Arabidopsis thaliana: one gene and its partners. The protein of the gene in region 1 interacts with the protein of each later gene in a biochemical or structural test. Each region holds a gene or a part of one and is shown on either strand. Other genes may lie near its edges.

Region 1 (3,760 bases):
TGAGCTTCGAAATCTCTAAACCGGTCTAAACCGCATTCAGCTATTCGTCGAACCGCCACAGCTGTTCCGTCTTGAAGCACCGCTTTATACATTATGCTCGAACCGGTGGCTCCCAAAATATAAGCTGATGCTTTGAGAAGCGTTTCGATTTCAAGCTCTTTCTCTGAATCGAGATTCACTAACGTTCCCTTTTTTTCTTGATCGTCTAATCCTGACCGTCGATTTGGTCCGACCGGGTTCTCTTCGTCGGATTCGGATTCCGATGTCTCAGATTCCTCTTCTTCTTCTTCGCAGTCACCGTCAACGTAAACGGATTTGCGTAAACAGTACCATTTTGAGACCTTGGAATCTGTTGATGACGTGGACCATTTTGACGTAGCCGTTACGGTCTTCCGTTTTCTCGACTGGTAAATGTAGAAAAACACAATCCCGAGGATTGCTAAACCGGCTAAGTCACCGACAACAATGCCAATGATAAGCACCGGTTTATGATCCCATTTTGATTTCGGACCGGTTTTGGAGCTAATTGGGTGATTGGTTAAGCCAATAGTATTTGGTATAGCAGCTAATGCAGGAGGAGAATTTGGAGTCGGCGATGGAGGTGGAGAGGTTGCTTCACCGTCACGACAAGGGTGTTTTGCATGGTCGGATCCGCAGAGACCCGGGTTACCGGAGAAAGAGTTGGATTCTTGGTTATCGAGAACCCGAAAACCCGGGATTTGACCTGTAAGTTGGTTGAATGAGAGATCAACGGTGGCGTCTTCCGGGATTTCGTCGGCGAAACCTGACGGAATCTCGCCGGAGATTCTGTTGTACGAAGCGTTGAAATAGCGTAGACGATTCCCTCTGAAATGTGACGGCAACGAGCCTTTGATCAAATTTGACGAGAGATCAAGATACTCCGTCGACTTAAAACCTCCCGGAATCCCGCCGGATAAATAGTTTTTCTGAAGTGAAATCTCCGTTAAGTTCCGGTTCCATCCTAATGTGTTCGGTAATTCGCCGACGAAGGAATTATCGGAGAGATTCAACACTTGGAGGTTCGAAAGCGCGCCAAAACTCGCCGGTAGTGCACCGGAGATGTGATTATCGGACAGATCAAGAAATCGAAGCTCCGTCGCGTTGAGAAGCGAAACCGGGAAAGACCCATTGATGGAATTGTTGGAAAGATCAAGTCTTTGAAGTGAATTGAGTGAACCCAAATTTGAAGGTAGTGTGCCGGTAAGGTTCGAGCTTGGAAGTGACAGAACAGTCACGTGCCGGGAAGATGCATCGCACGTGACACCACGCCAAGAGCAAGGAGTCTCGTCGTCGAATCTCCAGCTCCGAAAAACGTAAAGAGGATCGTCAACGATTGAGTAACGGAAAGAGAGAAGAAGAACACCGTCTGTGGTCAGAGCAAGAGAGGTTTTGTCGCAGAGGAAGAAAAGAAAAACGGTAATCAGGAAAAGATAACGGTGGAGATCGGCGGCGACTGTCGTCATCATGCTTCAAGCCTACGCATCGATAGAGAACTAAAAGATTGATTTTTTGAAAAGGCCATGTGATTGTGAACGATATATGAAAGTGTTTATCTTTTTATGGAATTCTTGATTTGAGTAATTCTTTATAAATATAACTTTTGTAAATAAAAAATTCTATATCCTATGTAAATTGCACGGAATGTGATAACAAAAGTTAACACTGTTTTCCTATTCGTAAATTATGCTGACGTCGCTTTGTCGTTTTTCACGTTTATATTCAACGTGGACCCTAATATTGGTTCATCATTGTTTACATTGATCTTCAAAGAAACGTAACAAAACCATATAAATCTGGATAGTTTTGTTTACATTTAAATCTTTGCTAGATCACAGAAACTATATAATATACTAATTCTGTTACTCCTTTTGATTATGACGGAAATTGTGACGTGAGATTACGCATATCGATCATGTGATGTGTGTGAAGAATTGTATTATTAGCCAATTAACTAATATCTATGGAAACATGATCAGATGGGAGAATAGTATCTTTGCTATAAGACATTCACAAAAAGTTCGAAATTTTTGCAGGTCTCTCACTGACTTGGATTTACTTATATATGACCGTTTTATTATTGTTTTCTCATTACACCTAATGTTTCTCTGATCATAGTACATCTTATAGATATAGGCTTATTAAACTAATCTATAAGATAAAAATAAAACTAATCTAGTGATTCGTTATAATATTGACTTTATGCGCAAAACACATAAATAAAAACAAGTGTTTCATATAAAATATTACTAGATATCCTTAGCAAAAAATAAATTAACATTACTAGATATACCTACTTTTTCAGAAATAATATTCGTTTCATGATCTAATCTCTGTTTTAAATGCAGTTATAATTTTGCATATACCAAAAATAAAATCAGAAGATTCTTTTTAATGAAGTGCAAGTAGACATTTAATGTCTTAGTTATATAAGAAGAATTCGATTTGATTCATATTTATGGAATCCTTATATATGTAGTTTAACATGTACTACGTAGTAATAATCCCAATGGATCACGACTCACAACTCACGACTCACGACTCACGAGAGTTAGACTGATAAAAAAAGGAAATATCAAAAACACTAAACAGTTATGTGTTGCATCAAAAATATATAAATGTAGTACTGTATCTACCAAGAGGTCAACATCACACGTAAATAAATGCATGTCAAGATTAATGTACACCGGGTCAAATTGATTAAAATTGGTCCCCGTTTTAATTAAATTTCGCGAGCGTCATTGTGGTCCTTGTTATTTGATTGCCAAAATCACAAAATTGTTTATGTATAAAATACTGTATATATGTTTTACCGGTTGGTATTTGTTTGTTTTTGTTTGTTACCACCATATGTCACGGTTTCTCAAACGATTAAGTAATCATGAGATGAACATGGTTTATTTATCGTTTAAGAATTTTTCTGCAAACCAGTGCAATCACTGGACCGAAAAAAAATCCAATTATTTCTTCTGCTGTGTGTGAAACAATAAAACATATGAGTGTCGTGTAGTCCAAGTTTCAGCATTAATTACAGTATTAATCGTTGTGTGTGAACAATACCCACTACAGTGATATTATAGACTCATAGTTGAGTTTGACTGTAAATTGTCAGAGCAAATTTACTTATAGTCGACATTCATGTTACAAATTGGACAAGGTAAGTTTCGAGATTCAGGTTCACAAGCTATTTACCATTTCTGTATGTTTTATCTTCCTAAACGTAACCACTATGTGATTAGTCTGTAAACTCCAATACGAATATATACAAAGCTGTAGTAATACATTATTAATTAGAGGATGGCTACTAGTTTGGCGGTGGACAAAGACGGGAGATGCATGAAAAATGGCGTTTTCTACTTACCATTATGCAAAACTCCAAAGTTATTATCGTCTTGCAAAGTTATAAACCAATCCTGAGTTCGACAATTTTTCAAACAGTGATAATATAATAATACAACACTGCGCATTGTCACTTGATCGGTCGGGTGTTTTTGGATATATTATATGATATCTGTTATGACTTTATACATTCTTTCTTTTCCTCCACAAATATATGATGATTTTATTCGAGAAAATAACGGTCAAGAAAATTGTTATAGTTCCTAGAGTATTTGATTATGCCAATAATATTTAGATTGTTTGATTCTTTGAAGTGAACATGTCGAAGCCATTTCTGGTAGTAAGCTACTATCTAGTGGCTTTTAACAACGACATATGATTAGAATGATTAAGTGAAATGGGT
Region 2 (3,760 bases), on another chromosome or scaffold:
ACAAAAACAGAGTCACACTTTAACGGACCTTGGAGTCGAAAACTTCACCAAACTCGTTGAAACACCTCTCTATAGACTGTTCATCGGTGGCCCAAGCTAAACCTCCGACGAAGCATCGATACTCGTTGTCTGCATAAGCCACGTCCAAAGATTTGAGGAAGATGATGACGACGACGGTTCTATATAGAAGCGCGAAACCATGGTTACGTTGATTCGGTGCTTAACATGCATTCAGAAATATGATTAGAACTGTGACCAAAACACTCTCTTGGACGCATGATTTGTGCCACGTCACCAGAATCGAAATAATCTTGCTCTGATCCGATGGTTTAGATTTGACGGCTTATTTTGTATGTGTGGGGTCTCACGAAGAGGACATGTGTTAGTTATATGATCTTGAACTGGAAAACACAGATACAAACAACATTTGTACTTTCGGACACGTTGGATTTATTTAATAGCGATGCGGGATATGTAACAAAAATTAGGTAGTGATGTAAATTTGTTATCCGACGAAAGATGAATAGTTCATTGCTTTTTCTTCCCGAACAAATATCCTCAATTATGACTTAACTAGCTCGAGGTTAGAGAAAACTTTTCTATGGAAATAACAGTAATTGGAACGATTAATAAAATCATATACGCAACTGTAGCATATGAAAATTAATAAACAGTTTAAGAAAATTTCACATCACTTGTTCATATATTTTGAGAAAACTTTTGAGAAATTTTTAGCTCAAGAAAAATTCATCTCTATTAATGTCTACTTAATCACTATTTTCTAAATAAACCATAGTGAGACTTTGAACTAACATAATCATTCATTTTTCAAGTAAAATTAAATAAAAAAACTAAATATTTTCATTCGATTGGCATTGTTTAAATTGAACATTCTACAATAGAGAATTTGTTTCTATCAATTTTAAACTAAACATATATCAAATTTTTGGATCATATCAAAAAAGCTAGAAAATTCAATATCATTGTTTTTTAAAAAGAATACTTCAACATCTTTACAAAATCCTATAACCGATAAATATTTCATCCAATATTTTGAAAGAAAGTTGCCAACATTTCACATGTTTTTCTAGTTGATAATTTTCTATTGTACTGTATATGATTATATGTTGTAATAAATTGTTTAAAATGCAAATGATTACAGCGGTTGAGACGGACAAATACTATGCAGATTAAACCGCTTTTAATTTACCAATCATAAATTAGAATCTATAATAATATATACTAAGAAAACTGCCGTAAACCAATCATAAACCATTTTTACATACAAATAAGATTGATCCACAACGATTTATTATCTACTTGAAAATAAAACACACTTATATTATCGATGAATTTATCTATTCTGATTGCCGTTACCATTCGAACCAAAAAATTCAGAGTATTTAGAAAATTTTAGCAAGAAAAGAAAAAGATTCCTTTATTCGGCCAAGAATGGTGAATATAGGACGTGAGATATATTACTCCTTATATATCCGAACATTAAATTTACAACAATAATAAAACAGGAAAGAAGGAAAGAAAAAATCCCAAATAGTAATTGCGGCAACAGCTTAGCTGGCTTATGGCGGGATTACCGGGAAAGTCAAACCAAACATTAAAACGACGTCACTTTACCCCACACTAGGTTTTAATTTAATCTAATTTCAAAATTATTAATTAATCAGATTTGTAATTAATAATAAATTAATTTCGAAGTTTCTTGCAAAGACGAGAGAGAGAGGAGTGTCACAGTCTACAGTTGTTATCTCAACAATCTCGATCTTCTTCTTCTTCTTCTTTCTTTCTCTCTCTAAAGATTTTTTTCACTCAACAAATCACTTTTTGTTTTGTCTGATTTTAAGGATTAGTGAAAAATTTCTACTTTTTCTTCTCATAAATTAGGATTTAGAGAGAGAGAGAGAAAGAGAAAGAGAGGTGCTTTAATGTCTGTGAAGGTAGGAGCTGTAATTGGATCCAGTAACAGAGCAAACCCAGTTCGATATCTGTCTCTTTCTTCCTCTCTAAAGATCGAAAGACGTTATTTTTATTAGGGTTGTTGAATTGGGTATTTTGCTTAAATCCTGAAAAAAATAGTCTCTGTCTCTCTCTGGGTTTGGGTGATGAGTGTTGATGGGTCATTGGATTGAGTTTGATAAGCAATGGTTGATCAAAGAAGAAGCGCATTGGGTTTTGTCTTGTTGTTGTTGTGTTTGGTACTGTTCTTCGACTGTGTTGTTGTTGGTCAAACACAGAGTCGATTCAGTGAGAAACTCATTTTGCTTAATCTCAGGTCTTCTTTAGGGTTAAGAGGAACAGATTGGCCAATTAAAGGTGACCCTTGTGTTGATTGGAGAGGTATACAATGTGAGAATGGTAGTATCATTGGGATCAATATCTCTGGGTTTAGGAGAACAAGAATTGGTAAGCTAAACCCACAATTCTCTGTTGATCCTCTTCGTAATCTAACTCGTTTGTCGTATTTTAACGCGTCCGGGTTAGCGTTACCGGGGACTATACCTGAGTGGTTTGGTGTTAGTTTGTTGGCATTGGAAGTATTGGATCTTAGTTCGTGTTCTGTTAACGGTGTTGTTCCTTTTACTCTTGGTAATCTCACTAGTTTAAGAACTTTGAATCTGTCTCAGAACAGTCTTACTAGTTTAGTTCCTAGCAGTTTAGGACAGTTGTTGAATCTATCACAGCTTGATCTCTCTAGGAACTCATTCACTGGTGTTCTTCCTCAATCTTTTAGCTCTCTGAAGAATCTGTTGACTCTTGATGTTTCTTCCAATTACCTTACTGGACCTATCCCTCCTGGTTTAGGAGCGTTATCAAAGCTTATCCATCTGAACTTTTCAAGCAATAGTTTCTCGTCTCCGATTCCTTCAGAGCTTGGTGATCTTGTCAATCTGGTTGACTTTGATCTCAGCATCAATTCATTGTCTGGTTCAGTTCCTCAGGAGCTAAGAAAGTTAAGTAAGTTGCAGCTAATGGCGATTGGCGATAACCTTTTGAGTGGTACTTTACCAGTAGATTTGTTTAGTGCTGAGAGCCAACTGCAAACTTTAGTTTTGAGGGAAAATGGTTTCTCTGGTAGTCTACCTGATGTGTGCTGGTCGTTGCCAAAATTGCGGATTCTTGACATTGCTAAGAACAACTTCACAGGACTGCTGCCATATTCTAGTTATGATTCAGACCAGATAGCTGAAATGGTTGATATCTCTTCGAACACATTCTATGGAGAGCTCACACCGATTCTTAGACGGTTCAGGATAATGGACCTCTCTGGTAATTATTTCGAAGGTAAGCTTCCTGATTATGTGACCGGGGAAAATGTGTCTGTTACAAGCAATTGCCTTCGAAATGAGAGGAGACAGAAGCCGTCAGCAATATGTGCAGCATTCTATAAGTCTAGAGGATTAGATTTTGATGATTTCGGACGTCCTAATTTGACACAACCGACATCGAAAAATGCTTCTTCAGGGATAAGCCGCAGAACAGTAATTATATTGGCAGCAGTGGGTGGTGGAGTTGCTTTTATTCTTCTTTTTGTTATCTTGCCAATTATTCTGGTTCTATGCATGCGCCATAGACGCAGAGCGGCACAAAGAGGAAATAACGACAGGCCAAAACCTGCCGGGGAAGCTTCACAACAACCACCTAAAGGAGCACAAACCTTTGATTTGTCACGTCTTGGAAATGCATTTTCTTATGAGCAGCTTCTTCAGGCAACAGAGGAATTCAATGATGCTAATCTGATAAA
Region 3 (3,760 bases), 5.9 Mb from region 1:
GTTTCATAATGTTCTTTTGTAGACTTTAGTGGTGAATTTAATTATTTTGTAAGGTGCGATGACTTTCTTGACAGTGGAAATTTTTTCACGTTTTCACAAACATGCATGATTGTTTATTTTCAGTTCGATGATTAGTGACCTGTATTTTAAGTGACAGTGAACAGGAATCTCGTTTTTCACCACAGTTAATTGGGATGCGATTCTTGTTATCTAAGTTAGAATCGTGGATGCGATGATGAAGTTTGTATTTTCTATTGATATTGTTTTACCCAAACCCAAGAGTCGAGAATGAATTTTTATGTCGTTGCTATTTATTCTGAACTTATGTCGTAAATGTTGGGATCAATAATTTAAGGTGACCGAGTCGTGACCCACATGAGTGTCGAGTGATTATTACAGCTTCGGTGAAAACGAGTGAAAAGTGAAAACGCAAACATTATTTTTAGGATCTTCTCTTTTGCTCACGAAGAATTGTAGTACTATTAGATAATCTCATAATCCTGAATGAGTGTTTTTAGTGGGATCACAATCCGAAATGACTATTTAAGCGTTAAGATTCAAAACAACTTCACATATATATAACCTTCAATGACTTCAATTTAATATATAGTTTGAAATTTAGTGTGAAAATCAAAATAATCGAACCTCGTTAATATTTTTAGTTTCATTCATGTTAAGTAATTCAAGCCAATTTTCCTTTTATAGTTTCTCTGCATGCAAATTTATATTTAAAGTGCGTGCATGTTGCATCACTTCAGTAATATGGTAGAATGCAAATTCGTTAACCGTCTCTATAGTTCATGACTTCATGATAGCATAAGAGATAAAATGAATTCAGGGATTTATGTGTAATCATTAAGGAATGAGAAAGTCACATAAAGCATGTAAAATAATTTTTGGGTCGTTATTTTTTTTTACTACGATGAATCTCTGCTCTCTTTTATATATTTTAGTCATGACTGAATAATGACAGGCAATTTTAATAATTTAAGATAAGTATGCGGTATGCCATGATCGGTAGACGGTAGCTCAATACAATTCCGACACAGAAACTAGTTTTTTTTTGGGTATTTGATAATGGGCCTTTTAGCAATTTTCTAAAGCCCAAATTTATTATTCTTGCTTCACGCAATATTGTTTAAAGCCCAATTTAGAGAACATGATTTCCATTCCGAATTCGTCGCCCAGTCACTTATTAGATTAATAGATTGCATTGCATTGCTTGTGCTTTCAATTTACAAATTGTCTCCCAACTCCATCGACACATCTCTTTTTGTGTATATAAGATTCAGACTTGTTATATTTTTTTTATAAATATGTTATTAGCATCTTAAGTTAAATTGATTTTTTATATCTGCATTAAGGATTACACGACTATATTTGCGATTGTGTGTTGGTTAAAATATAATTTAGGATTGTCTTTAACTACATTTAGGATTATATGACTATATTTGGTTAAATATAAAATCTAGCTGTGATTATTAGTATTCAAAAATAAGTAGCCTAACCAATTAAAACAACGGCTATTGGGGCAAATTAGAACATTTTAGTGTGTCCAAAATATAATGGTCATTAGGTCATATTCCTCCTAGCTTCATCGCAGCATAATTGAATGATTGCCTTATTTAGAAGAGCTTTTCCACTTTCCCAAAATCTATGTGGGATCTTTTTGTTTTGACCTTCATTTTTCTTGTTTACCATTTTTAGCTAAATTATTTACGATTACAAAAGATATCAAAAGTTGGATCATAATACAATTTATAGACTTACTGTAGAAAATTCGTATGTACAAGTACAACAAATTCTTCATAATAAATTTTGAAAATTCTATTACAAATGTTGTAAGAAATAGAATTTGAAATATATATAAACTAAGGAGAAAAAAAAAGAGAACATGCATTGCTCTAGTCAGAGTGGACCAACATCAACGAGATAAGATAACATAAAAACCAACTCACCATAACTAAAAACATCCCAAGAGATCCAACGATTCATATCAAACACAAAAACATCGAACGATCAGATTTAAACCATCTCTGGTATCTCCAAAACACAAACACTTTTTTTTTTCTTTTGTCTGAATGGAACAAAAGCATGCGACATCTCTGTGTCTTTATCTTCTCTCTCCTCTTCTTGAAAAACTGAACCTTTAATTCTTTCTTCACATCTCCTTTAGCTTTCTGAAGCTGCTATCTTCAAGCTCAAAACCAAACCCTAGAAATAAAATGACGGCGACACAAATGCTGCTTCATCTTCTTCTTCTTCCACTTCTCTTCCTTCACTTCAGCAACCAAGTCATGGCAGAAATCACCGACGAGTTAGCGACATTGATGGAGGTTAAAACAGAGCTTGACCCAGAAGACAAACACTTAGCTTCATGGAGTGTTAATGGAGATCTGTGTAAAGACTTTGAAGGTGTTGGTTGTGACTGGAAAGGACGAGTTTCTAACATATCTCTACAAGGGAAAGGCTTATCTGGTAAAATCTCTCCGAACATTGGAAAGCTTAAACATTTGACGGGTTTGTTCTTGCACTACAATGCTCTTGTTGGAGATATTCCTAGAGAACTTGGTAACTTGTCGGAACTTACGGATCTTTATCTCAATGTTAATAATCTCTCCGGTGAGATTCCTTCAAACATTGGGAAGATGCAAGGCTTGCAAGGTTAGTTCTTTTTTACTTTAATTTTAATCTTAATCATTGATTAAACTTAAAACCTAAATTTAGCATTGTTAGATCTTTGGTTTCTGCAAAATTCTTGTCCCAAGATTAATCAATGTTCTGTGGAGATTTGAAACCTAGAAATCTGAGCTCCTTGTCTTAGGGGTTTTAGTTACTTCATTACTATCTCTGGTAGTTGAAATTATTTGAATTAGATGATTTTGGAATTTAATGCTTTAATGATCTGTCTTTAAAACGTCCTTTTCATGTCTTTTTGTTAGGATTTTTCTTTTTGTAATTTTCCTGTAAGGAAGAATAGTCAAGAACTTTTTAAGATTCAAACTTTTAATTGGAACCATAAATGGCTTACTGGTCCCAAAATATGGACTTGAATTGAAGATAACTTGTACTTCTCTTGATTAATTTTGTTTATTTAGATAATTGATTCACTTACTTTCAAAAGGCTTTATATTTGAGCTTTAATTAGCAGGACCAGGTTTCTAAATCTAGAATTAGTTCTAAGTTAATGTAAGTCAAAGCTAAGCTTCATTCCTTTTTTGGTCTATGTTGTTGTGTAGTTTTGCAGCTCTGTTACAACAATTTGACTGGAAGCATTCCTAGGGAGCTTAGTTCACTGAGGAAGCTGAGTGTTCTTGCTCTTCAATCTAACAAACTCACTGGAGCTATACCTGCGAGTTTAGGAGATTTAAGTGCTCTAGAGCGGCTAGATTTGAGCTACAATCATTTGTTTGGTTCTGTACCAGGCAAGTTAGCTAGCCCTCCTCTGCTTCGAGTTCTCGACATCCGCAACAACTCCCTCACTGGCAATGTACCTCCTGGTTAGAAAACTGATTCACTATATGATCTTTGAAACTAACTTTGCGTATTTTGTGAAGTGTTTCTCATTTTGGTTTATATTTCTTTCTCTGTTGTACCGATTTGACAGTACTGAAGAGATTAAATGAAGGTTTTTCGTTTGAAAACAACTTGGGACTATGTGGAGCTGAGTTCTCGCCGTTGAAATCTTGCAATGGCACAGCTCCTGAGGAACCTAAGCCATACGGTGCAACCGTGTTTGGTTTTCCATCCCGGGATATAC

What was found.
Region 2: the proteins of RLK (region 1) and AT2G16250 form a complex in vitro, tested with the Arabidopsis thaliana proteins (one large-scale study listed by BioGRID).
Region 3: the proteins of RLK (region 1) and AT5G51560 form a complex in vitro, tested with the Arabidopsis thaliana proteins (one large-scale study listed by BioGRID).

What each region holds. Positions count from the first base shown.
Region 1 is NC_003076.8:26,843,640-26,847,399, forward strand, and holds the start of RLK (receptor-like kinase), read right to left. Parts: upstream 1,656-3,760; 5' UTR 1,488-1,655; coding exon 1-1,487.
Region 2 is NC_003071.7:7,041,333-7,045,092, reverse strand, and holds the start of AT2G16250 (Leucine-rich repeat protein kinase family protein), read left to right. Parts: upstream 1-1,738; 5' UTR 1,739-2,159; coding exon 2,160-3,760.
Region 3 is NC_003076.8:20,943,582-20,947,341, forward strand, and holds the start of AT5G51560 (Leucine-rich repeat protein kinase family protein), read left to right. Parts: upstream 1-2,094; 5' UTR 2,095-2,225; coding exon 2,226-2,664; intron 2,665-3,239; coding exon 3,240-3,500; intron 3,501-3,607; coding exon 3,608-3,760.